Pelodiscus sinensis: one gene and its partner. The main gene of each other region encodes a partner of the protein of the gene in region 2 in a complex. Links are inferred from orthologs where the notes say so. Each region holds a gene or a part of one and is shown on either strand. Other genes may lie near its edges. The genes, in order: RPL13A and GAPDH.

Region 1 (15,404 bases), on a different chromosome or scaffold from region 2:
GGGGGTGGGGAATGGGGGAGGGCCCAGCTGGCTCAGGGGGGCGGGGAATGGGGCAATGCCCGGCTGGCTTAGGGGGGTGGGGAATGGGGCCCCTGTCCCCTGGGGGCAGTGCGTGAGCCCAGCGATATGGTTGGGGCAGGCCGAGACCCCCCTACCTGTGGGTCCTGATCTGGGAAGGGTGAAAAGCAGCGCGAGGGGCGACTGGAGCAGGACACCTGGGTTCTCTCCCTGGCTCTGGGAGGGGAGTGGGGCCCAGTGGTTACAGGGGGGAGCCGGGAGCCAGGACTCCTGGGTTCCATCCCCCCTTCCCACCTCCCCTGGCAGACGTGGTCTACGTAGGGGTCATCCACCCGCAGCACCTGCCCGTGGGGCGGCTCTTCCTGGAGGCCGGGAAGCCGGTGCTGCTGGAGAAGCCGCTGGGCATGAACGCGGCGGAGGTGAGAGAGCTGGCGCAGGTGGCACAGAGCCGGGGGTCTTCCTGATGGAGGTGAGTGACCCCAAACACACTTCCTGTTGGGCCCCCGCTAGGTTTGCCAGATGGTTGAAACAAAAATACTGACACCCCCCCCCCCCCCCCCCCCCCCCCCCCACGCACACACCAAAAAAATCCACCGGGGAAAAATTCTGTTGAAGAAAAAAAAAAAGTGGGGAGGGCGACCAAAAAAATAAAATAAAATAAAACAGCATGTCTGCTTTAAGAGTGAGTGCAGGGATAGGAACAGGGGAGCCATTTTGTGCCTGCAACCTTGCAGAACCAGGTAAGCATGGGGGCTGGGGTCGGGGGGCTGGGGGGGCTGGGAGCCGGGGAGCCTGGGTGCTGAGTGTTTGTAGGGTTGCCAGGTGCCGGGCATTTTCGCCTCCTGGCCAGAGAAAGAATCAGAAAATACCCGACATTTTTTACCGGACAGGAGGCGAAAATACCAGACTGTCCGGGTGAATACCGGACACCTGGCAACCCTAGCCCCCGCCCCTCCCATTCCCTGCAGCCCAGCGCCCCCTACTGCCCCCCGCAGCCCAGCGCCCCCTACTGCCCCGCACAGCACAGCGTCCCCTGCTGGGCCCCCGCCCCCACTCCTCCCAGCCCAATATCCCCAGTCGCAGGAGGAAGGACACAAAAGTGAGAAGCAAAAAAAAAAAAACCCACCCCACAAAAAGCCACATTCTCCTCGCCTACCAGAGCCAGGGGCGGGGGGGCAGGTTAGCAGATTGTTTTGGCCCCCCCGGCTCTGCAGTGGGGCTGAGTGTGTGGGAGGGGCTGCGGGGAATCGGACTTGGGGTGTGGGGTCTGGGCAGGAGGGAGGGGGCAGGGCTGAGGGGGATGTGATGCAGAAGCAGACTGGATGGGAGGCAGGGTGCAGGAGCAGAGTGGGGGGGTGTGCAGAGTCTGGGCAGGAGGGGAGCCCCAGGGCTGGAGGGCCAGCTCCCCCACTGCTGGGGAGAGCCCCGAGCCTCTGGGGCTGGATCCAGGCATGCTGGGGGCCGGATCCGGCCCCTGGTCCGTATGTTCCCCACCCTTGTTTTGTTTGCTCTTTACCCTGCGCGAGTGAGCTGGCTGGGGAGCAGCAGGGAGCGGGCGAACCGGGGAGTCTCCAGACGGGTCGGCCCCGTTGGGCCCCTGCCTGGCCCCGGGCCCCAGCACCCTCTTCTCTGTGTCCCCTCGCAGGCCTACTGGACCCGCTTCTTCCCAGCCTCCGAGCGGCTCTACTCCTTGCTCTCCCAGGGGGCGCTCGGGGAGCTGAAGATGGTGAGGATTGATTTTGGGGCTCCCCTCCTGGAGTGCCCCCGGGCGGTGCAGAAGGAGCTGGGAGGCGGGGCCTTGCTGGACCTCGGCTGCTACTGCGTCCACTTCGCCACCATGGCCTTCGGGGGAGAGAAACCGGAGTCTGTCCTCGCCTCGGGCTTCCTCCTCCCCACCAGTAACGGGCTGTAGGGCGGGAGTGGGGGGGTTGTGGGGGGCAGCGGTGGGGTGGGAGTGAGGGGCCCTGACAGGGGCTACGGGTCAGGAGTGAGGAGTAGTGGCAGGGCTGTGGGGGGCAGCAGTGGGGTGGGAGTGAGGGGCACCGACAGGGCTTGGGGGGCAGGGGATGCAGGTCGGGCAGGAGGGGCACCAGCAGGGATGGGCTGAGCTGGTAGGGGCTGCAGGGGGGAGGGAGGGGCACCGACAGGGCTTGGGGGGCAGGGGATGCAGGTTGGGCGGGAGGGGCACCAGCAGGGATGGGCTGGGCTGGTAGGGTCTGCGGGATGGGAGGGAGGGGCACCGACAGAGCTTGGGGGGCAGGGGATGCAGGTCGGGCGGGAGGGGCACCAGCAGGGCTGGGCTGAGCTGTCAGGGGCTGTGGGTCGGCAGAGGGGCCCCGGCAGGGCTTGGGGGGCAGGGGATGCAGGTCGGGCGGGAGGGGCACCAGCAGGGCTGGGCTGAGCTGGTAGGGGCTGTGGGGTGGGAAGGAGGGGCACCGACAGGGCTTGGGGGGCAGGGGATGCTGGTCAGGCGGGAGGGGCACCAGCAGGGATGGGCTGAGCTGGTAGGGGCTGCAGGGGGGAGGGAGGGGCACCGACAGGGTTTGGGGGGCAGGGGATGCAGGTCGGGCGGGAGGGGCACCAGCAGGGATGGGCTGGGCTGGTAGGGGCTGTGGGCTGGGAAGGAGGGGCCCCGGCAGGGCTTGGGGGGCAGGGGATGCAGGTCGGGCGGGAGGGGCACCAGCAGGGCTGGGCTGAGCTGGTAGGGGCTGTGGGGTGGGAAGGAGGGGCACCGACAGGGCTTGGGGGGCAGGGGATGCTGGTCAGGCGGGAGGGGCACCAGCAGGGATGGGCTGAGCTGGTAGGGACTGCAGGGGGGAGGGAGGGGCACCGACAGGGTTTGGGGGGCAGGGGATGCAGGTCGGATGGGAGGGGCACCAGCAGGGATGGGCTGGGCTGGTAGGGGCTGTGGGCTGGGAAGGAGGGGCCCCGGCAGGGCTTGGGGGGCAGGGGATGCAGGTCGGGCGGGAGGAGCACCAGCAGGGATGGGCTGAGCTGGTAGGGGCTGCAGGGTGGGAGGGAGGGGCCCCGGCAGGGCTGGGCTGAGCTGTCAGGGGCTGTGGGTCGGCAGAGGGGCCCCGGCAGGGCTGGGTGTGGGCTGCCCTCCTGCTCTCTCTCCTTCCCAGGCGCCGATGAGACGGAGTCCATTATCTTGAACTACCGGGGGAAGCGCCAGGCCGTGCTTACCTGCTCCATTGCGGCCCGGCTGCCCAACCAGGCAGCCCTCAGCGGCACAAGGGGCATCATCCAGGTGCTTGCGGGGGGGGGGGGGGGTGGCAGAGCTGAGGCTTGCGGGGGGAGGGGGGGTGGCAGAGCTGAGGCTTGCGGCGGGGAGGGGTCTCTGCCGTGGGGTGCAGAACCCAGGCGTCCTGCCTCCCAGGCTCTAACCCCCCGGATTGTGTCTCCCTGCAGCTGCCGTCTCAGATGTGGAGCCCGACGGAGCTGGTGGTGAACGGGCAGCGGGAGACGTTCCCCCTGCCGCCCCCCTCCCAGCCCCTCAACTTCGCTAATAGCACGGGGCTGCGCTACGAGGCCCAGCACGTGCGCCAGTGTTTGCTCCAAGGTAACTCGTGAGGGGGCACTGCTGGGGTGGGGAGGAGTTTGCAGCCCCCAGCGTATCCAGCGGGGGGCCCTGCTGTGTGGAAGCTCATAGCACCTAGCATCCAGCCAGGGCACCGCTGGGGGGAAGCTCGCAGCACCTCCTAGACTGACCCTTCTTTTTTCCCCCCCCCAGGGCTGAAGGAGAGCCCTGTCATGAGCCTGGCTCACTCCGAGCTGGTGGCCTCTATCATGGACGAGGTACGGCAGCAGCTGGGGGTGACGTACGCCCAGGACAGGGCCTGACTCGCATTTGCTCTTGTAAGCCCTGTTGACAACCCCAGATCTTTGGATGCGATTTCATCCGGGGCTGATCAACCTACCAGCGTGGCGGTACCGGGCCTAGACAGTTGTAGGGCACCGGGCGACATAGCTCGGAAATGAACACATTAAATGGATTTAAAACTGGCTGGCTGATGGTTCTCAAAGTGCACTTGTAAACGGGGAAGCACCATCGTGTCGGGGGAGGGGTTTCCTGGGGGGGTCCAGCTGGGGTGGGTGGTCGTGGGCCCTGAGCAAGTTAAGTTTTATCAAAGACCTGAAAGGAACCATAGCGTCCGCCCCGACACCGTTTAGCACTGGAGGGAAAGCTGGATGTGTCTGCCTTGACCACCGTGCGGCTCTCATGGAGCAAAACCCAGGCCTGTTTCAAGGCTGGGGGGAGGGATACCTCAGAGTTTAAGCATTGACTTGCTAAACCCATGGTTGTGAGTTCAATCCTCAAGGGGGCTGTTTAGGGATCTAGGGCCAATCTGTCAGGGATAGTATTTGGTCCTGCTATGAGTGTAGGGGACTCCAGTTCCATGACATAGGTATATCTCCATCTATTATTAAGGCTGGTGCATGTAAACACACAGGCAAGGTTTGCAGGGGGAGAGCTTTGAGAGGTAGGATTTTTTTTTTTTTTTTTTTTTTTGCACAATCATACAGATACAGCATGGCACATGAAACCACGCCAGGGACATCGGGAGGAACCTTGTATTGGTACATTTTATTCTTGATAAGCAAAAATTCCAGATACAGCCATAAAACTGTTAACTACAGTCCATATATAGTTTTGCAACATCCTGGCTATGTCTAGACTGGTATGATTTTCCGCAAATGCTTTTAACAGAAAAGTTTTTCCATTAAAAGCATTTGCGGAAATGCGCGTCTAGATTGCGGAAAAGCGTCCATGCCAATCTAGACATGCTTTTGCGCAAAAAAGCCCCGATTGCCATTTTAGCCTTCGGGGCTTTTTGGCGGAAAACAGTACTGTGCTGTCTACACTGGCCCTCTTGCGCAAATGATTTGTGCAAGAGGGCTTTTGCCCGAACGGGAGCAGCACAGTATTTCCGCAAGAAGCACTGATTTCTTACAGTAGGAAGTCAGCGTTCTTGCGGAAATTCAAGCGGCCAGTGTAGACAGCTGGCAAGTTTTTCTGAAAAAGCAGCTGATTTTGTGGACAAACTTGCCAGTCTAGACACAGCCCCTGCGTAGCAGGATGTACCCAGAACAGGGGCATTGTGCACTGTAGGTATCTTAGCCGACACATCATCAATTGGTAAATATTAGAATGACCAAGTCTCGCTTTGCTATAAAATGGGCTTCGTAAGAAGAATCGATGGGAGGGATATAATTTTTTTTTAAAAGACAATCTTTCTAAAAGCGCACCAAAAGAGTAAACCCAGAGGCTGCGTCTAGACTGGCATGATTTTCCGCAAATGCTTTTAACGACAAAGTTTTCCGTTAAAAGCATTTTCGGAAAAGAGCATCTAGATTGGCACGGACGCTTTTCCACAAAAGCACTTTTTGCAGAAAAGCGTCCGTGCCAATCTAGATGCGGTTTTGCTCAAGAAAGCCCTGATCGCCATTTTCGCCATCGGGGCTTTTTTGCGCAAAACGATTTTTACCTGTCTACACTGGCCCTCTTGTGCAAAAGCTTCTGCGCAAGAGGGCTTATCCCTGAGCGGGAGCAGCATAGCATTTCCACAAGAACACTGACACTCTTACATGAGATCGTCAGTGTCCTTATGCAAATTCAAGCGGCCAGGGTAGACAGCTGGCAAGTTTTTCCGCAAAAGCAGGTGCTTTTGTGGAAAAACTTGCCAGTCTAGATGCAGCCACTGTTTTCAGCTACCAGTTGAGGAGAAAGATTGGGTGGCTAACAGTTCGCAACTACCTTAAGTTGTGTGTGTGTATATAATTTTGTCTTTTTGGTCTTAAATATAGTGTGTTTCTGCTGCTAAAAACTCTGAGGTTCTTGCCCGCCTGGTGCTCGGGGGACAGTAGCAAAGTGCCGCCCATCCCAGCCCCGGGGGCAGCTTTGCTTCCAACCCGGTACCCTGGGGGCTCAGCCTCACCTTGTACCTGGCACCAGCCTGGTCCTGCGTGGTGCAGACCATCAGGTGGATGGTGCCCCCACGGCCAGGCTATCTGCCCAGAGAGAGCAGTGCCCGGGCACCCTTGGCCCGGCCCCGCAGGCGGGCAGCAACCAACCGTCCTCCCTCCCTGCCCACCTGGGATTCTGCTGCTCTCCCGGCGGCTCCTGTGGTCAGGCCGGGGGTAAAGCGGCGGCAAGAGGCAGCGGCAGAGGACGCCTGCTGTGTGGGCCACAGCAGCAGCTCCTCCCCGGGAGTGGAGCCGCATCATGCGACACTGAGCCAGGTGGCAGAGCACGCCTGCAGGAGCTGGTGGGGGTGGCCGCGTTGGCGCATGCGCAGGAGCGACAAGTTGAAAATAGGGTTGCCAGATACCTTCACAAAAAATCCCGAACAGGCAGGGAAAAATCGGTTGACCAAAAAAAAAAAGAGGTTGCTGTGCCTTTAAATTACCACGCTCCTTGCTCTCCCCAGGCCTCCCAGAGGACGACGGCCTTCCATCCAAGGAAAATAGAAAATACCAGACATTTTCCATGTCCAGTATTCTCTGGGCTTTTTTTAGCAGATGGAAGGCCAAAATACCAAACTGTCCGGATGAAAACCGGACACCTGGCAACCCTAATTGACAATCCCATGATAGACAGACAAGAATGGTAGCCACTTAATAGACAGATTGTCTAATAATAAAGAAGAATGTAGTTAAGTCTTTCTGGAGTGTCCTGGTTTCCCTGGGATCTAAAATAAATGGAACCACAGGCCAAGCAGATCTGTTTAATTTACATTCAAGTGTAGTAAAAGAAAAGAGCCTCAACACTGCCAAATTAAGGGGAATAAGAAAAGCCAAAAAGGAGTTGGAAGAACAGCTCGCCAAAAGCTACGTCTACACTGGCATGATCTTGTGCAAGAACTCTTCCAGGTGAGAGCGTCTACACCGGCATGTGCGTTTGCACGAGAGATGTGCGTTTGCACAAGAGATGTGCTTTTGCACAAGAGCATCCGTGCCAGTGTAGCCGCTCTCTTGCCAGTTTAACCATCGGGCTTTTTTGCACAAGTAATTCATGTTGCCTGGCTACACTGGCCTCTTGTGCAAGAACAGTTGTGCAAGGGGGCTTGTTCCTGCTGATTTCACACATTAGAACGTCCGTGTCCTTGCACGAGAACCCCCCCCCCCAGTGTTTGTGCACGATCGCGCCAGTGTGGACGCAGCCGAAAGGTAACAGCACGGACCGGAAGCAGGGAGCGGGGCTACCTCGGCCACTTCCGGGGCCCGCCCCTGCCTGGGACTCTGCTAGCCCTCCGCCCGAGGGCCTGGATTGCGTCACTTCCGGCCTCTCTGCCCTTAACGGCGGCGCCGGCGCCGCCTTCACGTCCGCCCGCGTGCGCGCTCACTTCCGCCCCTGCGCGCCCCGCGCCGGACGGGGAGACCCCGCGGCGTGCGCGAGGCGGAGCCTCTTTCCCGGCGGCCGGCGAGCATGGCGGAGCTCAAGGTGCGCGCGGGGACCGGGACCCCCCTCCCGGCCCCGCCCCCCGGGACCCCTCCCGCCCCCTCCGTGTCACCTCGGCTGCCCCCCCCCCCCGTGAGGGCAAGGAGCGCGAGAGAGGCCTCGTGGGCGGGGGGGCGTGTGGGGGGGTTAGGAGGGATGCGGGAGAGGTGGGGGGGTGGGGCGCTGGGGGCAGCTGGGGGGGTGGGAGGCTGGGAGGGGTGTGGGGGGGTGGGGGCAGCTGGGGGGCTCTGTGGGGATGAAGATGGGGGGGGGGCTGAGACCTGGGGCTGGTGTTGGGGGCAGGGGTTTGGCCAAGGGCTGTAGTGTCCGGGGGTGGGGGGGGGGCAATTCGAGGCCCATCAGGAACGGGGATGGGTGGCTGAAGCGGGACCCCTCCCCCATGGGTAGGAAACCTATTGCCAGCCCTCTCCCTTGGGGGATCCTAGTGGTGATGGGGGTGAGGTGTCACACCCCCGCCCCCGGCAGGGGCTTTCCCTAGAGCCAGCTGCTGGTGCCCCATATGAGTTTTCCCCTTTCCCCTGTAGCCAGCCTGTGAGGTGAGACCTGGACCCCCCCCCCATAGCTGTGACCCTACTGTCCCACATTCACCCTTTCTCTCTCCCCCCCCTCCCCCCCGCCAGGTTCTGGTCATCGATGGGCGCGGCCACCTCTTGGGGCGCCTGGCAGCCATCGTGGCCAAACAGGTCCTGCTGGGTGAGTATCGCTGGGGGGCCCCCCCAGGCCTGGAAATACCCCCCACACCTGGGCCCTGCACCCCTGAGGTCTGTGATGATGCTGTCTCGGTGCTCGAGTGTCACAGCCATGAGAGCGCCCGATCCATGCACTACCATCTGAGACCGCTACCGGGGGGCCAGGGCGCCTGGGTTCTACCCCTTTGGGAAGGGAGTGGGGTCTAGTGGTTAGAATAGGGACCTGGGAGGCTGGATTTGCTAAGAGTGCCTCTCCCTGGCCATGCTGTTAAACCCTCCAGTCTCCTCTGCCTCTCTCCTGACACCCAGGCCTTAAGTCCATGGTGATGAGCCCTGCAGGTCTGCGGCTGCCGTGCATGTCGGTATCCGCAGCTCAGTTTGCTCAGACAGGTGTGGATGCAAATGTTGTATCCAACAGGTCTCCAGAGCCGGGCTCAATGCAGGAGCAGAGTAGGTTTGCAGCCCTGAATCATCCTCTCCCCCAGGGCCCTGCTCGGCTGCTAGCCCCTGGGGTTGGACCCTGAGCTCATGAGCTGAGCGGCTTTGTCCTAGTCCCCTGTGCCCCCCAAGTCTCTGACCACGCAGAGCGGGGTGCCCCGTACTTCCTGGGCCCCAGGCTGGCTCCGCAGTGCTCCCCAAATGGCTACGGTCCCTCTCTGACTTCCTCCCAGGGCGCAAGGTGGTGGTGGTGAGATGCGAGGGCATCAACATCTCCGGAAACTTCTACCGCAACAAACGTGAGTGTCTCTGCCGGGCCGGGGAGCCAGGACTCCTGAGCTCTCTTGGAAGGGGCTGGGGCGTAGTGCGTAGAGCTGGGAGCCAGGACTCCTGGGTCCTTTTCCGGTCGCCATTTCCCTTGCCAGTTGCCTAGTGCCAGTCCCTCTCTGCTCTGTCTGTTGCGGGCACAGAGCGCATCCCAGAAAGGGGGCAGTGGGTGGGAGGCGCCTTCCCTGTGGTTGCATGGGTATTGGTTTAGCACCGGGTGCTGTATGGATGCCCCCAGCACTGCACAGACCCAGGCAGAGACGGCCCCTGTCCTGACCAGCTCACAAGCCCTCTCCCACATCAGGGAGCCGTGGGGCCGATTCTCTGGCACTGCTCTGTCCGAAGCCTGGTGGGACGCTGGGGTGGCACCTCGTCTCTCGGAGCCGGCTGCTGCAGCTTGGGCCTGACCTCAGGGCAGTCGGCATCCCCCTGTGCTCCCCGCAGCAGATCTTCCGGTTCCTGGGGGGCCCTGCACCCAACTCTCTCAGCCAGCATGAAACCCTGGGGCGAGGTTATTGGTGCACAGGGACACAGTGTAGAACAGAGCTGGTTAGCACAGAGGACAGGAGCCTTCAGTAAGTCTGTCGGGGGGGCGGGGCAGGGAACCCAGAGCCCAGGCTCTGGCCTTCCCCCTGCACCCCTAGCCAGCCAAGCCTGACTCACTTCCAGCTGCCTGGCTGTCCCCACACCTGTTGCTGCTTCTCTGTTGCTGGGGCTGAAAGTTACCTGGTCACGCCCTCCTGGGGCTTCAGTTCCAAAGGGCCAGCTGTAGCCAGCATGCAGGCAGCTGGAGTGTGCTTCCCCACCCCCAACACACCCTTACTCCTGCCACCTAGCCACGGGTGCAATCCAGAGGGAAACTGAGGCACCCACCATATTCCCGTGGAAAAATCCCAACTTCGTCACAATCCCCGAGGGTGGGAGGGGAAACCGAGGCCGGGGGGGGGGGGGGGGGGGGCTGCCTCCCCTGCCCTCGGTCGCAGAGCTGGGCTATCTGGGAGAATGGCTGCCCCGGCTCGCCCTGGGGTGTGGCCTGACCCTGCTCCGCTCTCGTTCTAGTGAAGTACCTGGCTTTCCTTCGCAAGCGCATGAACACCAACCCGTCCCGTGGGCCCTACCACTTCCGCGCCCCCAGCCGCATCTTCTGGCGCACGGTGCGAGGTAAGCCCCGGGGCCGTACGGGGGCGGGGGGAGCAGCTACAGGGCACCCTGGTGGCACCCATGACTCATTCCTTATAGTCTGATGGGGGAGGTACCTAGAGCTCCCTTCCATGGAGCCTGGGGGGCAGAGCCCCACAGTGCGGGGTGCCCCGGCCTGCTCCCAGCAGCTGCTGTTCCTTGCAGGGATGCTTCCCCACAAGACCAAGCGAGGCCAGGCTGCCTTGGAGAGGCTGAAAGTCTTTGATGGGATCCCACCGCCGTACGACAAGGTAAGGGGGCCCTGGGGGCCGTGTGGGGAATGGTGGGTCTTTTGTCTATGATGCTCTATCTACCTACATTGTTTGATGCTGGGTGAGAAAAACCTGTACCCTGAGACACCCCAGCCCTGCTCCTCTTCCCCCCACCCCCGTTTCCATCCCCCTAACGCACTCCTCTCTCCTGCCTGCACAGAGGAAACGGATGGTGGTGCCCGCTGCTCTGAAAGTCGTACGCCTGAAGCCAACACGCAAGGTACGTCCCTCCCAGAGCCCCTTTCCGCACCGGAAGGGGCAGGAAGTTGGATTCTGACAGACGGCTGTGCTGTCATGAGGCAGGTAGTTCCACAGCTTGAACAAAGGACTCTTCAAAGGCAAAACTTAGGTGTCATTAACCCGTGGGACTAACTGCCAATGGTAGCAGGCCATGGCCAACTCCAAGGCAGTAAATTCATTTGCCAGTTGCGTTAACCAGGGGAACTGCCTGCCACATGATACTGGTGCTTAGTTTGTCAGAGGTTCATTAGGCAGCAGGGTGTTAACCTATGGAGCTTATTGCTGCGTGATGCCTTGGACTGATGTCACATGGCAGCTAGTGACCAAGCCAAGGAACCACCTTGTATAGTCTGTGTTCAGTGCAAGTTGCCTGATGGTTCCTGTGCTGTCGGTCCAGCGATGCCCTGGCCATGCCTGCCAGTGGCCGTACTGTACCCTGTGTTGGCAACTGGCACCTCGGGCGGTCTGTGATGATGCTAATTTACTTGTTTTCGAGTCTCACGACCATGAGACAGCATCCTACATGCACTACCATCTGAGACCACCATGGGGCGCTGCACGACCTGGCTCGCCTTGGATCCCATGGGAAGGGGGTTGGGGGGGCGGGACTGGGGAGCTCGGTTGGATCCCTGGCTCTGGGAGAGGGAGTGGAGGCTGGTGGGTAGGGCTGGGAGCCAGGACTCCTCAGGTCTGTCCTGACCGGTCTCCCCCCTCCCCCCGCAGTTCGCCTTTTTGGGACGCTTGGCCCATGAGGTGGGCTGGAAATACCAGGCCATCACCGCCACGCTGGAGGAGAAACGCAAGGAGAAATCCAAGCTGCATTACAACAAGAAGAAGAAGCTGATGGTGAGCAATCCTGGATGTCGTTGGGCCTTGCACGGCCCCCGTGGGGGAGCTGCCAGCAAGAGGGGGGGAGGTATAACCAGCTCCGTGCACCGCCCCTGAAGCGGCCGCATCTGCCCGCTGGCTATGGGCTTCCTGCATGAGCAGCCCTCATGCCCTGCCCCAGAGGAGTTGTCTCGCCATTGGGTGAGAGGTCCCCCAGATCCTCAGCCCTGGAACCCCACCCCAGAGGTGGCTGCATCCTTCGTTCCCTGCCATCTGCCTGTAGAGCTTATTTCAGTGGGGTCGGGGTGCACTGCAGTCGTCAAACTGAAGCTCTGTGTCCCCCTCCCTGGTGTGTGTGGTGGGGGGAGGCTGGGCGTGCAGAGCATGGCCCATACAAAGCGTCCCGGGGCCCTGGTAGGCCAGCCCCAAGCTGGTGCTGGACTGGGTGGAACTGCCCCTGTGCACCCTCCCTCCCCCATCTGAGCTAGGGATGTAAAATCCTGGTTCATCGGCTAACAGGTTTAACTGGTTAATCGATTTAATTGGGATGGGGGAGCCCTGTGCACTTCAGGCTGGCTTCTGGGCCTCTTCCCCCTTCCCTCCCCCCTGTACACACAGGCTGCTCTAGGGTGACCAGTTCACCTTCAGACTAGGGATAGGAACGGGTGAGTGTGTGGGGCAGGGCTGAGCATTCGAATCAGGCCATATCCAGTGTGGGGCCAGGGCCCTGTTACCAGGGATGTCCCCTGAATCTTGGTCTGATGCCTCCGCCTGGCATGTCTTGCAGAAACTGCAGAAGCAGGCAGAGAAGAACGTGGAAGGCAAGATCGCCCGCTACACGGCCGTGCTGAAGCAGTACGGTGTCTTGGTCTGAGCCTGTGACCTCAATAAAACTAGTCCCCTCGACTTCCACCCGGCCCCTCTCTGTGTCTTCGGGGCCTGGCTTTTATCTCTAACTGCAGTCTCTAGCCTCCAGCGGCTGGGCCTTAGCGTTGGATCCCCTCCCGCTTCCGGCTGCTCTGGTTTTCAGGAGGGCTGCAGGTCTCGGGGGCATGTGCCTTCCCCTTCCTGCCCCGGCAGCCCCAGGCACTGTGGGTTTGAGAGCGCTGCAGGGGCGTGTTCAAGGCCATCTCCCCTGTGGGGCTGTAACTCCAGTGCACTGGGCGCTTCCCTGCAGGCGAACCACCTTGAGAACTCACCAGCCGTGAGCTGAGGAGACGGCTGCTATGCAGCGGCTTGGGCCTATCTTGTTATAGCTCCTTGGCCTGGCTCGTCTGACCTCCTGTGTGACAGGGCCCTGGGGCTGCCTGCAGTGGGCCTGTACAGGGACTGCTGAGGGAGGGTGGCTCCTGTGCCCCTTCTGCACACCCCCCCAACACTTTTCCACTCAGAATTTGTCTTCATCAGCTGGGGACTGGCAGCGGGGGAGTCCCCTGTGGAAATTTTTGATGTAATGTGGATGCTGCTCTCTTCTCTCCCCACCCCTGCCCTGGGCTTAGCTCCACCCCAGGCCTGACACCTCACTGTCAGGCCGGTTTTCTGAGCCTTGCCTCATCCCTGCTCGGATACGTCGTTCCCAGGTGTTGCCTCGGCTGGGGAGTTCAGTGTGGGCTGGCTCTCCCCTCTGCCCCTTCCCTGCTACTCCTCAGCTGGGTTGTGTGTGTGGTGAAATGACCCCCCCCCCCCCCCCGCTGCTGTCTGTGTCCTTAGCCCCCAGCCCTCCTGCGGTGGGGGAAATAACTTCCTGGTGTGCCTATATCCTAGGGCTGTCGGAGGTGCCCTGGGTAACCGCGACCAGGGTGCCTGTTGGTCAGTGGTCTTGGTTAAACGCTTCCAATTTTTAGTGGTTGCGCGGTTCCCTGATGGAACAACTCACCAGACCGGCTCCTGCCGCTGGAGGCAGCGTGGGGCGTAAGGGGGCTGGAATTTCTGTGGGGCACCGGGCACTGAACGTGGGGCAGGGTGGGGGGCTGCGAACGAGGGACTTCCCCTGCCTGACTCACCCACAGGCTTCCAGCCACTGGCTCAAGCTGACGATTAGTCGGGGGCAGGAGCAGGCAGGGTACAGGAGCAGCCTGAAGCTTTCCCTTATTTTTGGAGTAGCTACCCCCCTTCTCTGCCCAAACGATTGTGCCCAGCGGGGGCAGTGTTGTCAGGGGCCCTGTATCTGTCCCGGGCCTCCCCCTCTTTGGGAGGGTGGGAGAGGGGGCTGGAAGAGAAAAGAGACAATCCCAGCTCCATGCAGCAAGCAGCCACGGGGTTGTGTTTATTGTAGCCCCGGCCTTGGGAGCAGACACGCCCGCAGCGCATGCCCCGGCCAGGGTGGGGTGCGTCTCCCTCAGCCCTGCCGGTCCTCGGGGTAGGTCACCCCCAGCTGTCGCCGCACTTCATCCATGATGAAGGCCACCAGCTCGCTGTCAGCCAGGCTCATGATGGGGCTCTCCTTCAGGCCTGGGGGGGAGGGGGAAGAGCTCAGTGGAAGGTGGGGGTCACAGCCAGGCTGTGAGCTTCCCCCTGGCAGTGCCCAGCCTGCTGCTGAGAAATGGGAGAGAAACCCCTGGGCCTGAATTCCCTGCTTAGCCCACTAGACCCCCCCCCCCCCCAGGGCTGGGGAGAATCCTGGTTCCCAGTGCCCCACCTCCCCCTCTGCTAACCATTTGACCCTACTCCCCCTCCTAGGGCTGGAGAGAGCCCAGGAGCCTCCCCGCCCCCCTCACCTTGCAGCAGGCACTGGCGCACGTGCTGGGCCTCGTAGCGCAGGCCGGTGCTGTTGGAGAAGTTGAGGGGCTGGGAGGGGGGCGGCAGGGGGCTGTCATGGCGCTCGCCGTTCACGAACATGGTGGTGGGGGTGTACCAGGGGGAGGGGAACTGGAGGGGTACAGGGAAGAAAGGGTTAACAGCCCCCCCATGGGATCTGACCCCCCCCCTCAAACTGGGGAGAGAACCCAGGTGTCCCCCCGCCCCAACCACTGGACCCCACACTCCCAACCAGTGTTTCTGGTTCTTCCGCTGGGGCTAGAGGCCAAGGGCTGCCCCCCCCCCCGCTCCCTCCCCACTCACTTTGACGTAGCCCTCGGTGCCACAGACGATGGCCTCGCCGGGGACCTCCACCCGCATGGTGCAGGACAGCACGGCCTGGCGGTTGCCTGCGTAGTTCAGCACCATGGCCGCCGTTTCGTCCACACCTGGGGAATGGGGAAACCGCAGCCCTCAGGGGCCCTGCGTGCTGAGCCGCGGCCCCTGCCCTTCCCTGTCCTGCCCCCTGCCCTGCCCCTTCTGGTCTCTAAGCCCACCCCCCCACCGGTGCCTCTGCCCTGCCCCCCACCTCTCTGCCTGCCCTGCCCCCTCTCAATCCTGCCCCCCACCCTGCCAGTGCCCTTCACTCCTTCCCCCCACACCTTGCTATTCCCTCCCTCCTGCCCCTTCTCCCTGTCCTGTCCCGTTCTCTTCCCCTCCCCAGTGTCCCCATTACCAGTGGGGTAGAGGAAGCCTGAGGCTATGATGGACTCCGGCTTCTCCCCCCCGAAGACCATGCTGGCGAACTGGGCGCAGTAGCAGCCGAGGTCCAGAACGACCCCGCCCCCCAGCTCCTTCTGCACCAGCCGGGGGATGTTCTCCATGGGGTGCCCCACGGCGACGCAGCTTAGCTTCACTTCCCCCAGGGCTCCCTGGGCCAGCAGCTCGCGGAGCTGCTCCGAGAGGGGGAAGAAGCGGGTCCAGAACGCCTGGGGGGAGCAGGGCAGAATCAGTGCTGGCCGTGAGGGGGCGCTCTCCCCTGCCTGGCTGGGCTGCCCCAGGGGATCTCGTGTCAGACCCACAGCGCGTTGGGCCTGCCTCTCCCTTTGACACCCACGACGGGATGGGTCCCTTCGGGGCTGGCTTACGGGTGGGGTCGGCTCCAGCCTGTTGGGGCCTGTCCTGCCCCCCGCAGATCCCATGCAGCCGACTCTT
Region 2 (14,843 bases):
CCTTGAGGAAATAGCCACTCCCCACATTGCCACAGTGGGGCAGAGGGCTCCCGCAGCACTGGAGTAGAGTCCTGAGCCTCAGGGGCTGGATCCAGCAGGCTAGCAAGGGACTGCATTTGGTCCCTGGGCCTGAGGTTCCCAACCCCTGCAAGAAAGAGTTGGAACTGGCTGAGTAGAGTATGGGGCGGAGCATAAAATAGGCTAAACTTGAGGGGTGGGTGTAGAGTGGAATGCAGATCAAGGCTTAGGCAGGAAACTGAAAGTGGCTAAGGAGAACCGGGCAAGACTGAACAGTTGTAGGAAGGAGCAGAAGCTAGAATGGGCAGAAGCAGCAGTTGCCAACTGCCCTGGCTGCTGGGTGGCAGCAGCTGTCAGAGCTCAAGCCAACTGTTCACAGCAGCTCAGCTCTGGCAGCCATGGTGGCTAAGGCAGCAAGAGGAGGCATCTCCCTCCACACTTGTGGGGCAGGGGAGAGAGGGGGCACACACCCCACCAATGGCCTTTCCCCATGCCTGCGCGGCCAGTGGTAGAAGGCATCTTCCTCTACCCTTGGTAATGGCAAGGCTCCCCATCTCTACCTATGGGGGCACAAGACATACTTGGGAAGGGGGGGGTAATGAAGGAGGGCTGCTCCCCTGTCTGCACAGCAGTAACAGCCACATTCCCTAGAGGGGGCAGCCTCACTCTAGGAGGGTGAGGTGTGGCAAAGGAGAGTTGGGGTCACAGGGCAAGAGGATGGTGGCATGGGCTGTGGGGAACAGAGGGTATTAGGCACTGCAGAGCAAGGGGCTGGGGCAGGTCTAGGCAGAGGGTAACATTTTATTTACATATCCATTCCTTGGATAATAAGCAACTATGTTACCAGGCCACCAAACAGTTTGTGAATGGGTTCAGTCTACAGCATAAGAGGCTGGGAAGCACTGGGCAGGAGCAGAACCTGCTCTTCCACCTAGTTGAAGGGGAAAGCCAGTGTGCCACTTTCTTTATTCCTCCGCTATAGAACACCTATGCCTCTACCAGCATTTGCTCACTGCGCTACCTCACAGTTGATTCTTCCCCACTAATGAATCACATCAACTGCAACATCAGCACAAGCTGAGAAAGCCTAGTGAAATTACAGCCCCCCCTCTTCAGTACAGCCACACCCTCAGATGACAGGAAATGGCAAAATATGAAGATACAAGAGTCTCTCCCCACCCCCACCCTTATGATAAAGGCTTTAATTAAATGCTACAGGTATGCACTCATTAAGGGAACAGTCATTGGAGAATGAATCATGGATGTGTATAAGAGATTAAGCAGGCACATAGGCTATGTCTAGACTGGCATGATGTTCCCAAAACTTTTCTGTTAAAGCATTTCCAGAACAGAGCATCTAGATTGGCACAGACGCTTTTCCGCAAAAAGTGCTTTTGCGGAAAAGCGTCCGTGCCAATCTAGATGCGCTTTTCCACAAAAAAGCCCCGATAGCCATTTTCGCAATCAGGGCTTTTTTGCAGAAAACAAATCTGAGCCGTCTACAATGGCCCTTTTACGCAAAAGGGACTTTTGCCTGAATGGGGAGCAGCATAGTATTTCCGCAAAAAGCACTGATTTCTTACAGTAGAAGTCAGTGCTTTTTCAGAAATTCAAGCGGCCAGTGTAGACAGCTGGCAAATTTTTTCAGAAAAGCGGCTGATTTTACGGAAAAACTGGCCAGTCTAGACACAGCCATCGTGAAAGACATCCAAATATTCTGAAGATTCAAGACTCAAGTGAATGAGATTACTCCTGAAGCTGGGCCTCACGGGGCTGCCCCTCTCTGTAGCATGAGCTTAGCAATGCATCTCAGCACACAAGGGGGTTGCGAAAATAAACATTTTCAGGGCAGGGTTTAGATAATAGACAGCAAGCCCTTGAGCTATCAAGGGGGGAATGGGGGAGGAAGACTACCCAGAAGCCACTTGTACATACACCTACAGCTACTGTAATATATAGGTTAGGACCCAATTATTACAAAGGCAACTTTTCCTAGAATGGGTGACTGACTTAACAGCTGCAAACAAAAACTACACTAGCCTAGTAAGTTACATGATACACTTCATTTCTTACACAAAGTCGAGTATGATCAGGGACAGAGCATGAAATATTTAGTAGCTGGTTGTTTCCATTACAGTCATGGGCCTTACACCCTTACTTGTACACCATCCCATCTGTACACTGAGCAGGTTTTATTGCCATGACACCCATAGTGCCTAAGTACCTCACACCATTCATGTACCTTAATGCTAAAAGGCAACTTAGGAAAAAGAAAGCCTTAAAAAAAAGTGTGGAAAAGTGCCCATCTTGGCAGACCTATAATCTGATATTTTCCAGAGTTGCTAAGCCCTTGCTAATCTGATCTGTAACTGCAGTCAATCAGCATTTGTGAAAGTTGGCTTTAGTTGTTAATTGTGACAACACAATTAGTGGCCACACCTGAATGCTAGTACTTACACACATGCCCTATAGGTTTTAGGAAAAAAGCAGTGTATATGATCATATAGCTTGATTGCCTCACCAGGCAGATTTAAGGCTCCCTTAACAACCTTTCTGTTGGCATGTCCCAGGTTGATTTTTTTGGCTTTAGAATCTTAGCTTTAGTCTTGTAAACTAAAAATGTCATATACAATAGCTGCATTTCCTAACCCATAGCCCATTGGAGTAGTGGAAAAATCCCAGCCTATGTCAATAGCCACAGCAACATGCTAGGAACCCTTTGTGGCCTCTCCTCCTCTTGAGAGAAACAGGAACACTTCAGAACAGCTATTACTTTATTTGAGAAAATGTGATACACAGGCCAGCGTCTGTTGGCTTCCCCCTCTCCCTCACGCTTCAGGCACAAGGCAGAGGAATGGGGAAGAGAGGATGAAACAGAACTGGATTCTCACTTAAGGCTACAGAGCTGCATGGTGGGGAGAGAGGGGTGGGAGGAACAAAGGTCTCCGGTATGATTCTCCCACACCTCCTTCCCCAGGCAGAGACTGATCCATGTGCCTGGTTTATTCCTTCGATGCCATGTGAACTAACAAGTCCACAACACGGTTGCTGTATCCAAACTCATTGTCATACCTGGTGACAGAAGCAGAGAAAGAGCAGTTAGGAATGGACAAACCTCTACATCCACAACAGGAGCCTCCTCACCCCCAAGCCAGGTCCCAGAACAGCCCCCTTCCCTAAAGCAGGGAAAAATTGGAGGCTGAAGTTTGTTCGGATACTAAGGGTCAACTTCATGCTGAGAGGTCTTTCTAGCCCTCCGACCTGCGCTCCTGATGTGGGCGCTGCCCTGCCCCCAAGTCTTGATTGGCCTGGGGGCAGAAGGGGGAGCGCTAAGTCTCCTCTCACCACTGTGGAATCTGGGGGGAGGGGAGGAAGAGAAGGACTTCACATGCTCCCCCACCCTCAGACCAATCATGGCTTGTGGGAGGGGAAGCGTCCTGGCCCAGCCCCTTCCGGTGCACCCCAGGGCCACTTCAAAAATTTCTAAAATGGCTCCCAGCAAAAAATTATTGCCCACCCCTGTTCTACCCAGGTAACTGCCTCTTTGCCAAGCAAACTGCTGCTGGCTGCCAAGTGTTAATTTTAGATGGAGGCAGCAGAGGGAGAGCATGTAAAGCTTGCCGTAATAGGATCCTTGCCAGCACCCCAAGTGCCTCCCAAATCTTCCAACCTATTGCACAGAAACAACCCTCCAAATTCCTCAGATCCCCTCTCCCCGTACCAGGAGACCAGTTTGACAAAGTTGTCATTGAGAGCAATGCCAGCAGCCGCATCGAAGATAGAGGAGCGGCTGTCACCGTTGAAGTCAGAAGAGACAACCTGGAAGTGGGTAAAGAGGAGACACGGTGACTCACACCCCCTTCTGGCCTCAACTCCTTCCCCCACCCCACAAAGAGATGTTAATCGGCACCTTCCTTCATGAACACCCCCAAGAAGAGAAGGGTGTACTGAAGATTTGGTGTTCCATAAGGCTGCTTCTCCCCACATCCATGAAGACATTCATTACATTCCCCCTCCCCCGCTGTTGAAAGGACATGGGAGTTTACCTGGTCCTCCGTGTATCCCAGAATGCCCTTGAGAGGCCCCTCAGAGGCAGCCTTCATCACCTTCTTAATGTCGTCATACTTGGCCTGAGGGAGAGAGACACAGGAAGTCAGAACATCCCAGACCCCATGGCATGGCAGCTGCTCCCCAGGGAAGGTTGCTGCCAGCTTTGAGACTGCACTGCTAAGAGTATAGTTAGGACCCAGTTATGTCTGGTACTATACCAGACAGGGGCAGCTCCCCACAGGCCTGACTGTACCCCTTGCACAATCTCTTAAATCACAAGAAACAACAACAACAGTTCTAAATGGAATGGGGGCTTCAGAACAGCTGCACCCAGTCCCACACGTTGAGGAATGGATAGAAACTTAGGGGTAAAGGGAAGTTGCTCCAAGTCCCTTTTTGTGATACTCACTGGTTTCTGCAGGCGGCAAGTCAGGTCCACAACAGACACATTGGGAGTTGGAACACGGAAAGCCATTCCGGTGAGTTTCCTGTGAGGGAAACAGATCAGAATAGACTCCTGCTTGCCCCCAAACAGGGTTTCTGCACATCCTGCTGAGGAAAGGGCAAGACCGGCCAGCTGAAGGTTCACTACCCCTTCTGATGAATCCCCTGCTTTGGGGCACTGGGAGAAGGAACTGACACTCACCCGTTCAGCTCAGGAATGACCTTGCCCACAGCCTTAGCAGCTCCAGTGGATGCTGGAATGATGTTCTGGGCAGCACCTCTGCCATCTCGCCATAACTTCCCAGAGGGGCCATCCACAGTCTTCTGCGTGGCTGTGATGGCATGGACAGTGGTCTGGAAGTTGGGGGAAAAAGGGGGAAGGGTTAATTGAATTTCTCTAGAGCCTCACCCTGCTGACCTAGAGCATTCCTCCCCCAGCCTTCCTCAACTTTCCTCTAGTCCAGGCAGTATAGGGAGACACTCCTGCTCTGTGGGTTCCCAATCCTCCTTCCTCTACACCCAAAACTGTGGGTTGAGGAGTCCCAGCTTGAGTGTGCAGAGACACCCCTCCCCCCCAAAAGCTCCATGGTTCTGTCCCACTGACAGAGCTGGTGTGGGTTTTTGCGCCTCCAGATTACCTACCATGAGACCTTCCACGATGCCATAGTTGTCATGGATGACCTTGGCCAAAGGAGCCAGGCAATTGGTGGTGCAGGAGGCATTGCTGGAAGAGTCAAGAGGGACACATTAGCCAGAGGCAGTTAGTCAGGGCTCACCTCTCAGCTCCCTCCCCACAACTCACAAGAGAGGGCAATAGTCAGCTATGCACCTCAGGTTCAACCCTGAGAAGACTCCTGCAAACTGTCCCCCTCCTCACCTGACAACTTTCAGAGAATTGTCGTATTTCTCATGGTTGACGCCCATCACAAACATGGGTGCATCGGCTGAGGGGGCAGAAATGACGACACGCTTAGCACCCCCCTTCAGGTGAGCCTGAGGGAGACAGACCAACATTAACAAAATCCTATATCGCTCCAATACAGCAGCACATTTAGGACACCTCCCCAAATAATCGCACTGCAATACAGCCCCAGGGCAGAGAGAACTCTGTCCACACCCACTTCCACATGCAGCCAAGAGTCTCATCCCTACACCCTTTCCTTCCCACTTCCAAGCCAGATGTAACCCATCACTCACGCTGGCCTTCTCTGTGGTGGTGAAGACTCCAGTGGATTCTACAACATACTCTGCTCCAGCATCTCCCCACTTGATGTTAGCAGGATCACGCCTGAGGACGACACCAGAGTATTTAGAAACTGCAAGGCTGTCAAATGCCCTGTCCCCTAGCTCCAAGGGAAAGGGGAGGAAGAGTCATACTCACTCCTGGAAAATGGTAATTGCCTGTCCATTAATCACAAGTTTTCCATTCTCAGCCTTGACAGTGCCATGAAAGCGACCATGCGTGGAGTCATATTTGAACATGTAAACCTAGGAGTAACAGACTGAAGTTGAGTGCTGGCTGCATTGTGTTTCAACTCCCACAGCCCAGGCATTAACTCTGGGCCCCTCAATCCCAATGTGTAGCCATGGGCACTGGCAGGGTTCACAGGGAAATGGTATCACTGATAGCCACATTCCCAGGCCATCCCCAGAATGCTCCAAGTTATAGACCAGGGTTCCACTCACCATGTAGTTGAGGTCAATGAATGGGTCATTGATTGCTACAATCTGGACTTTGTCACAGGTGAAGGCAGCTCTGGTGACCAGGCGGCCGATGCGGCCAAATCTAGGCAAGGCAGAGAAGAGGCGAGCCTCAGGCAGAGCAGGGGAGCCCTGTGCCGATGGGTGCTGGCCACTCAGACTGGGCTTTAGCCCCAGCGGCTGCCCCGATGCAAAGGAGGCCCCCGCCCTACACTCCTCCCACCCAGCCAGCCGGGGCAGCAGGGGCCGGGAGCCGGGCAGCACACAGCGGCGCCTGGAGCCCCGCGCCCCCCGCTGCTTGCTCCGCCCCCGCCGACCGGGCGCTAAATTTACCCCGCGGCCCGGGTCCGGTTACGGCGCGGCAGGAGAAGGTCACATTCCCCGGGCCCGGCGGGACACGCGATACCCCGGCGCCCGTCCCGGGCCGCATGCGGCCGCCCGGCGCTTCCCGCTCGGGGTGACTCGCCCCCCCCCCCCCCCGGCAGCGGCGGGAGAAATGACTCAGCCGCCCGCCGGCGCTGCCCAGCCCGGTGCCCTTGCCACGCCCTTGGCGCCCCCCCGTGGCCGGCCCCCCCCGCCGCTCACCCGTTCACTCCGATCTTCACCATCGCGCTTCTGCCGGGATGCGCCTGCGGAGAGAGCAGGGGTCAGACGGCAGCGGCACCGCCCCCGGCTTCAGAGAACTGGCCCGAGGGCCTTGAGCCGCCGGGCCCGCCCCGCCCCCCGTGCGGCTGGACGGGCGGGACCCAGCGCCCGCCGGAGCCTCCAGGCCACTTCCTCCCCGGCCAGCGCCCGCCCCCCAGGGCTTTGTCGCCTCCTTCTCCCCAGGGCTTGCGTCGCCGAGCACCGGCAGCCTCAGCCCCGCGCCCCCCAGCGCAACCTCCCCGCAGCCTCCACCTCGCTCGCCCCGCCGGAGCACAAAGAGACTCCGGACGCAGAGCCCCACATGCCCGGCCCCCCGCGGCCTCCTTGCCCAGTAGGGCGGCGAGATGCAGCCCGCGCCCCACTCCCACCAGTATCCCGAGACTCGCGCTCCGGCCTGAGCCACCCCGGCGCGGCCAAGTGCCGACTCCCCGCTGCGGCTGAGAGCCCTTACCTGGGCCCTGCCTCTCAGCCACGCGCCTGCAGTAGGGGGAAGGTGAAGGGAGGGACTCTGGCTGCCCCGACCTTTATAGATTTCCGTATGGTAATCGCTGGGCCCAGCCTTTCGAGCAAGCGGCAAATCAGAGGCGGAGGGCTACGTGCAGCCCTAATGCTGAGGGGTTACGCGCCTCCTCTTCCCACGCCCATTTTTGGCCCTTCTCTCGCACTCCCTCGCCTTACAAAGGAGACTCAGGGGGCTCCCCCTCCCTCTTGCAGGCCCCACACAAGCGAGTCACATGTACAGATCCCTCCGATGCGCCCACTTGCTGTGCAGAGGGGAAATCCAATGTAGCTTCCCGTGCAAGGCGGTGAGACCAGGCATGCACTGGGCTTCGCCCGCTACCTCTTTTCTGTAACCAGAAACTCAGATGGGCACAGGCCCAGCCATCGAAGCTTGAAGTGCCTTGTGAGGCAGGGGTGGCTGGGACAGGGAACTGTGGGGATGTTAGGGCCCCAGCACAAGGGCCCACGGCTTAGATGCTATTGTAATGCCAGGGGCACTAAGCGGCGTCCCCTGCGCGCCTGGGTATGGGGAGGGGTGAGTTGAAAGCGCAGCAGGGGAGCAGATTACAAGTGGAGGGTAGATAAGGTGCGTGAGAAGGCCAGGACTGGAAGAGCAGGAGAGTACAGCCCGGCCCTGAAGGGTTAGCGCAGACCGGTGGGGCGGGCGATTATCCCCTTTCTCAGTGGGGTTTATTCTTTCGGTTGGTTGGCTCCAGTGAACTCCCTGCCGGAGCCCCGCCGCTGTGCGGTGGGCAGGGGAAGGACTCGCACAGCAATCGGAGCACAGTGGCGAGGAGGGGGCCGGAGGGGACGCGCACACGTGTCTGCGGGATCCCTCGATGGGGGCGCCTGTCTTCAGGGGCTCCGTCGGTCTTCCCCAGAGAGAGGACGAGGGGTCTGGAAGCCCCTCCCCCTCAAAGGGCCGTGCATGGGGGATGGGCCCCAGGGCTCTTCCCCGGTGGGAGCAGGCGAGCTGTCTCCACTCAGCCTGAGTTACACCTGGCGCTTCATTCTAGCTCGCGCTCGGAAGACTGGCAGGAGAGCGAGTGCGCCTCTACCACACACAGTACGGTAACCTGGCCACAGGCTCTGCGGTGGGGGCTGGGCGGGAGTTGCACAAGCCCCCGGGCGCGGAAGGAACGGGGCACAATTGTCACGTGGGCTGAGCAAGAAGGGGCTCGGGCCGGTGTATAGGCAAAAAGTGAAACCGCTCCGTTTTTGTGACCGTCACAGTTTCTGTCACGCACACATGACATTCGGTGCAACTGCTCAGGACTTGCTCCCTTTGCTGGCTGCTTGCAAATTCAGAGAAACTGTGTTTTTGGGTAGAAAAATCTCTGAGTTTGCTCAGTTCGGGTGCGCAGGCTCAGTGCACCCAAAGTCACAAATCCTGAGAAGTTAAGTGTTTCGGTCGCTGCACCGGCGCCTGCGGGAACAACTTCCCCGAGCCGCCCCCGCAGCAGCCTGGCACCGCCGGGGCGAGCCTGGGAGGATCCGCACCCTGCGGGCCCCTGTCCCTCGGCCCGGCCCGGCGCTGCCGCCCCGCCCCCCGCCACAGCTCCCTGGGCCTTTCTCTGGCTCGGCGCCCCCGCCTTGCCCCGGCCCGACGTGCTCAGCCTGGGAGCGCGGTTCCCAGGCGCTGGCCGGCCTGGCGTCCCGCCCTCGGGCCCGGCTCCAGCAGGCCGCGCTCCCCAGCGTGAGGAACATTCAGTAAGGCAGGGAGGCTGCTACCCGCGGGACGTGACTGCGGACATCCTGCCTACCACCTGACTCGCCCGCTCGCGGGGGGGGACAGGGCGTTTCCGTGGCTCGGGGCCTTGTGCGCGGGAGGGGGAGCACCCGCGGCAGGAGCTGCTCCTGGGCCGGGCCCTGCCTGGCTCACAGGCCGACCTCACCTCACCCGTGCAGCCCCGGGTGGGAGCCTTGCAGGATGAGCTTTCTCACAGCAGTGCCCCGGCGACGCCCTGCCCGAGCTGGGATGCCCGCCCCCCAGTCAGCTCGGCTAGGAGTGGCAGTGCCCAGCCGGGGACAAAAATCCCTGGTGCAGAACAGATCCCCCCTCCCCTGGAGCCGCGGGAAGGGTGAGAGCTGGAGCGTGTTTCAAACAACACGTTGGAGAGCTCTAAGGAGTCTCCCTTTCGTGAGACCGGGTGAGCTATGGAAATGCGTGCGGATAGTAAAGGAGTAAACCCTTCCTCCGCCCTGGCCCTGGCCCTGCCTACCAGGACTGGGGGGACAGTAGCATAGGCGCCGTAGGGAGAGGAGACAGTAGGAGAAAGCAAAGCACAGATAGGAATGGGTAGCAGAGCAGATACCAAGAGGAGCAGAGACAGGTCAACTGGTTAAGAAGTAATCCAACTCCCCTCATCCAGATGCTATTCCCAGGGCTGGGAAAGTGGGAGGGAGCTAAGTTTAGCTCGAATTGAAGTTATGACCTTTAATTAAAGGCCACAGGGATGGTCTATACCACACCAGAGGAGTGGGGACAGTTTGGTACTTCTGACCCACCAGGACATGGGGCAGATCCTGGGCAAAATGTTGTAGAGAAGTCAGGAAGAGGAGGGGATGGACGTTCTCTCCTGAGCTACTTGAGCATTTGCACTAACAAAAGGGCCTGTGTTGGCTGGAGAAACACACATTGCTGAGGACTCTGTGCAGAAGGAAGACAGACCAACCAAACAGCTGCAAACTGCTACACCCTGATCCTAGCAACCACCACTATAGTGCCTCTTGTTGGGGGAAAACCAGCACTGAAGTAGCTAAGAACCACTCCCACCAATGGTCCTGCTCCCCACTACAAGACCGACCAGGAGTAGAAAACACAGGTGGTACACATAGTTTACAACATGCCTGCCCGTGGCTCTGTACCATGGCCTCTGGACCTGGAAAGCAGTTTCTCCTGTGGTTAGCAGGAGAGAGAAGTTGACTGTGAAGCTAACAGTCTAGCACAGGAAGTGGAAGGAAGAGGGCCCAGGCTGCCCCATTAGGAGATAACAGGGACCTAGGCATGAGAGTCTACCAAGGGAAAAGCCTGCTCAGCAGCCAGTGCATTAGCAACCACGCTGTAAGGCTCTGGCTTTTCTGTGACTGTGCTGCCATCGTGAAAGGGGAGGTAGGATGGCAGCTTCAGCTGTGGAGTTTGGCAAAGGGGAGACAAAGGAATGCAAGTTGAATGGCTGTTACATAAGTATTAGGTCAGGCTGGGACAGCTGGTAAGATGAACACAGCAGAACAGTGTCTACTGAGGCAAACAGTCAGACAGGAGAGAATGAAAGAGAAAGACGTTCTAGGGCAATACAGGACAAAGTCTTTCCCCAGCAAGGAACCTGTCTGGATTCAGCCACTCTCTCTCACTAGCTGTAGGATGACAGGAGATTGTCCAGATTAGTACACACTGAACACCTAGACTGAAATGGGAAACTGGAGCATAAAAGATCAGGTCAGTAAACTAACTCCAAGGGGCTGCACCATGCCTAAGATGCTGCTGCCACCTGCTGACAAAAACACACCAACCAACACACATGCTTTTATTCATAGAGCAGAATACAAATAGATAGGAGGCTCCCAGGGACTAGAAGAATTTTTACTTTGAGGGTAAGAGTCCAGTTCCAGTCTGACTCCAGGGCAGAGGAGGTGTTTGTCTCAGAGGCTTGAGGAACATAATACACTTTTTCACCTCTCTGGTTTCTGTCACCCTCATTTCTTTCTACAGGATATCTCTTTTTCCACAAATAATACCAGTCCAAAAAGGGCTGTTGCAGAGGTTTTATTACAACTGGTGTTGGACTAATTTAACTCTATAGGCAAATTAATTACATATCTGTTTATTTACAAACATATCCTTATGCACAAAAACTACCACCAACACTAAAACATTCAGAACTTCAAACAGAAGAACAAAGGCCATGAGGATTTGTTTAAGGTCAGACTTGAGGAGCACTGGCAGAGCTGCACCGCAGGTGAGTGAGAGGTATTGATACAGGTGCACAACTGTGCAAGAAGGGGGCTCTGCCTACACTAAGCAGGCACTGCACTGTTAGGGGGCAGTTATGTTCAGCCATCTTTACCAGTTTCAGCCCCCCCCGCCCCAGTTTGGAGCACAAGACAAAAGAGTTGAAGGACACTAAGCAGTTCATTTTGAATTGTCCCAAAGGACAGGCTGAGTGCCTGTAACTCCTATGTCTAGGGAAAAAATATGTACCAGTCACACAGCAAACGAGCCAGCTTGCCATAATAAATTTTAAAATGACCTACCTGCACAAGGCTCAGCCTCACATCTCTCGCCTCCATAGCCCATAAAGAGAGCCTCGCTCCATAATTCCTTATTCCTCTGCTTTCCCCCTCTCCCTTCCCCCCAGCACTTGTGTCCTTCATGAGCCCCTTGGCCTTTGGACTCACCCACCTTCATGCATCCCAGATCCCACTTCTGGTATCCCCCCTCTGCAAGACTCCCCTCACCTGCCTGTTCCCCTGATTTCAATGCTTGTTCCTTTGTCCCATTCCAGAACTAGCATCCAAGATGACTGGATATGCCAATCTGATCCAACTTTAGCTCAAATCAGCCCTTGGGCATTGCCTTCCGTGAACACTCCTCAGACAAATGCCCACCTGTGATTGGCCAGCATCTGACACCCAAAGGATACCCAGCCAGTATCTGCTCTGTATGGAAGGAGCAGTGTGGGGCTAAGGGGAGCAACTGAGGCTCAAAAGTGGACCTCTCCCTCATGTTATCTCTGGCCCGCATGGATTCAGACTCCAAGAGCAGCAGCTGGGAAAGGAATGTCTCTAAGAAAGGGAGACAGACACACAGACCGAAAGGAGACAGGTTGAGATCCAGAGTATCCTACTCCATCCTGATTCACCTCCTTGTCTTCCCTGCCCTGTAGCCAGGTGATTACCCTGCTCCATCCCATCAAGGGCTAACAGTGTCAGTGCCCATCTGTGCAAATCCACACTAACCCAACCCAGCTTCCAACAGAGCCATACTTGAGAGGAATGTGGAGAAAAGGAACTGGTGCCTCCAATCTGGTGAAACAGCATCATAGGGAACAAGAACTTTGCCCTCTGCCCCAATGAGTGTGTGTGGATTCAGATTAGATTAAACTGAGTTTTCGAACACACTAGATTGTTTTTCACTACTTTCTCCCCTTCTGGCATGAGTACAGGACAAAGGTTGTTTGCATGACATACATTTGCTTGTTTGGCTTTCTTTGAAATTTAAACTCCAGTTATTAACAGGTTAACATATAGTTTTGAGAATATTACAACATTCCTCTTTGCTGTAAATGACTGATATATACCTACTTTAACTTAATTTGAATGTTTGTTAAACTACATTAATAAACAGTAAAAAATCTTCAGATGCAGTATTTCAAATGATCGACAAATTATTTAAATTCTACATCAAATTACTTAAATTTTAACTGTTAATTCTTTCATACTTTCTAACTACTTTAACTAGCCAATTTAAATAACCAGAGCAAGGTAAAGTGGGCTTATAGAACTGTTTTTGCCAGAACACCACAACACAGATGGAGCATATATCCTATTTTCCTCCTCTTCATCCTCCAAAATGTGTTTCTTGAACCTCCCTACTGCTTATCCTATGCATACACTCCCTAGACCTCCTTATGTTACCATGCATGCACTCACCCCCCTCCCTTTGCTCCTGGCCTACCTGCTCAGTGGTTCTCATGCAATGGGTGACTTGATATTTAAGTTAAACAACAAATGGTCTGGTAGCCCTTTATAGACTAACAAAACATGTAGATGGTATCATGAGCTTTTGTGGGCACAGCCCATAGGCAGTGTAGCTGTAGGCATGTCAGTCCAATTAAAGCTTGCTCTTTCCCGGGGGCAGGGCAATTTTTAGAGTGGGGATACTAAGTGTCTGTCTTTCACTTACAGACACAGACAAAGACCCCCTTATGCTTCTTCCTGTCCCTCTGATGGTTGACAACTCTCCTGACTGGGTTGACCAGATGCCATTTGCAGCAGTGGCATCCAGTCTGGGAGACTTGGCAGCCCTATCATCTCTCCATCCCAGGTTGGAGCCGCAGCTGGGGTGCAGGGAAGCTGGATGCAAAACCTGGAAGTGCTGCAGCACACCCTGCAACCCTAGTGTCCAGAGATATGCTTCTTACCCACTTTGTCTCTAATTTAAGATACTTTTTTTGTGTGTGTTAATTTTCATGCTGAAAGTACAGCGGTCATGAACCATTATTCTCAGTTGAGTTGAAGTTACAGCTACCCTGAAAAGGGTAAAAAATGGTTACTTACCATCTCATAACTGTTGTTCTTCAAGATGTGTTACTCATGCCCATTCCATATAGGAGTGAATGCACTGGGCTCATCAGAAGGTTTTTCCCTCAGTGGTACCTGTTGGGCCAGCAGAGAGCTCCCTGGAGTGGCGCCTCCATGGCAGCACATATACCCCTGCCAGCCCTCCATCCCCCCAGTTCCTTCTTGCCGAAACTCTCTGATGAAGGGAAGACGGGTGGGATTTGGAATGGACATGAGCAGTGCATCTCAAAGAACAGCAGCTATGAGAGGTAAGTAACTGGTTTTTCTTCCAATGATTGCTCATTTCCATTTGAGGTAGGTAACTCCCAAGCCAAACCCAAGGAGACGGGGCTGGGGCCTATCTGGAAATGGACTGCAACACCACTCGACCAACAGCTGCATCATCTCCGGTCTGCTGCGCTATGGGGTCATGGGTTGCGAAAGTATGCAGCAAGGACTAAGGGCTGCCCTGTAAATATCTAGGATGGGTACCTGTCCCACAAAGGCAGCTGACAAGGTGTGGGCCCTAGCGAAGTGAGCCGTAATGGGGAAGTTGGCAAATGGGCCAGCTTGTAACAAGTCCTGATGCAGGATGTAATTCAGCAGGAGGTAGGCTGGGCCAAAACTGAGAGATCCTTCATCCTGTCAGCTATCGAAATAAACATCTGCAGGGACTTGCAGAAAGGTTTTGTCCTATCTAAATAAAAAGCCAAGGCACGTCTAACATCTTCCTGATTGACATGAAACAGACTCCACCTTGGACAAAAAGGCAGACTGTGGGCAGAGCCTAACTTTATCTTTAAAAAAACCAGTGTAATGGGGATTGGAGGTTAAAGCTCAGGGCTAAGGCATCCTCCTAGCAGAAGTAGTGGCCACTAGGAAGGGGACCTTCCAGGAAAGATGCAAAAGACAGCACGTTGCCATTGGCTCAAAAAATGGGTGCCATCACCCACCTTTATAAGCACCAGCTTAAGGTTCTAAAGTTGGAGAGGCTGACGTACATGTGGATCTAACCTGTCCAGCCCTTTCACAAACCAGTGTACCATGGGGTCAGCGAAGACAGACTTTCCCCCGGGACCCAAATGGAAGGCCAAGATGGCCACAAGGTGAACCCTGACCTAGGAGGTGGCAAGCTCCTGAATCGTAAGGTCCAAAAGGTAGTCAAGGATAGCTGGGATGGGGGCTTCTACAGGGGAAAGTCC

The links.
Region 1: GAPDH (region 2) and RPL13A share a complex: the UniProt entries of both Homo sapiens proteins name them as parts of the GAIT complex. The link is inferred for Pelodiscus sinensis from reciprocal best matches to the Homo sapiens genes GAPDH and RPL13A.

The regions. Positions count from the first base shown.
Region 1 is NW_027465977.1:39-15,442, forward strand, and holds RPL13A (large ribosomal subunit protein uL13), read left to right. Parts: upstream 1-7,375; 5' UTR 7,376-7,447; coding exon 7,448-7,462; intron 7,463-8,100; coding exon 8,101-8,173; intron 8,174-8,238; exon of another isoform or gene 8,239-8,320; intron 8,321-8,840; coding exon 8,841-8,906; intron 8,907-9,993; coding exon 9,994-10,095; intron 10,096-10,278; coding exon 10,279-10,364; intron 10,365-10,545; coding exon 10,546-10,605; intron 10,606-11,085; exon of another isoform or gene 11,086-11,170; intron 11,171-11,348; coding exon 11,349-11,471; intron 11,472-12,240; coding exon 12,241-12,327; 3' UTR 12,328-12,365; downstream 12,366-15,404. Other genes in the region: DHDH (trans-1,2-dihydrobenzene-1,2-diol dehydrogenase), read right to left, coding at 13,792-13,904, 14,171-14,321, 14,514-14,638, 14,926-15,178. UniProt on the Homo sapiens protein: Associated with ribosomes but is not required for canonical ribosome function and has extra-ribosomal functions.
Region 2 is NC_134711.1:138,807,832-138,822,674, forward strand, and holds GAPDH (glyceraldehyde-3-phosphate dehydrogenase), read right to left. Parts: upstream 7,425-14,843; 5' UTR 7,310-7,424; intron 6,846-7,309; exon of another isoform or gene 6,843-6,845; 5' UTR 6,822-6,842; coding exon 6,799-6,821; intron 6,299-6,798; coding exon 6,199-6,298; intron 6,001-6,198; coding exon 5,894-6,000; intron 5,801-5,893; coding exon 5,710-5,800; intron 5,506-5,709; coding exon 5,390-5,505; intron 5,237-5,389; coding exon 5,155-5,236; intron 4,867-5,154; coding exon 4,715-4,866; intron 4,557-4,714; coding exon 4,478-4,556; intron 4,149-4,477; coding exon 4,065-4,148; intron 3,838-4,064; coding exon 3,740-3,837; intron 3,091-3,739; coding exon 3,021-3,090; 3' UTR 2,775-3,020; downstream 1-2,774. UniProt on the Homo sapiens protein: Has both glyceraldehyde-3-phosphate dehydrogenase and nitrosylase activities, thereby playing a role in glycolysis and nuclear functions, respectively.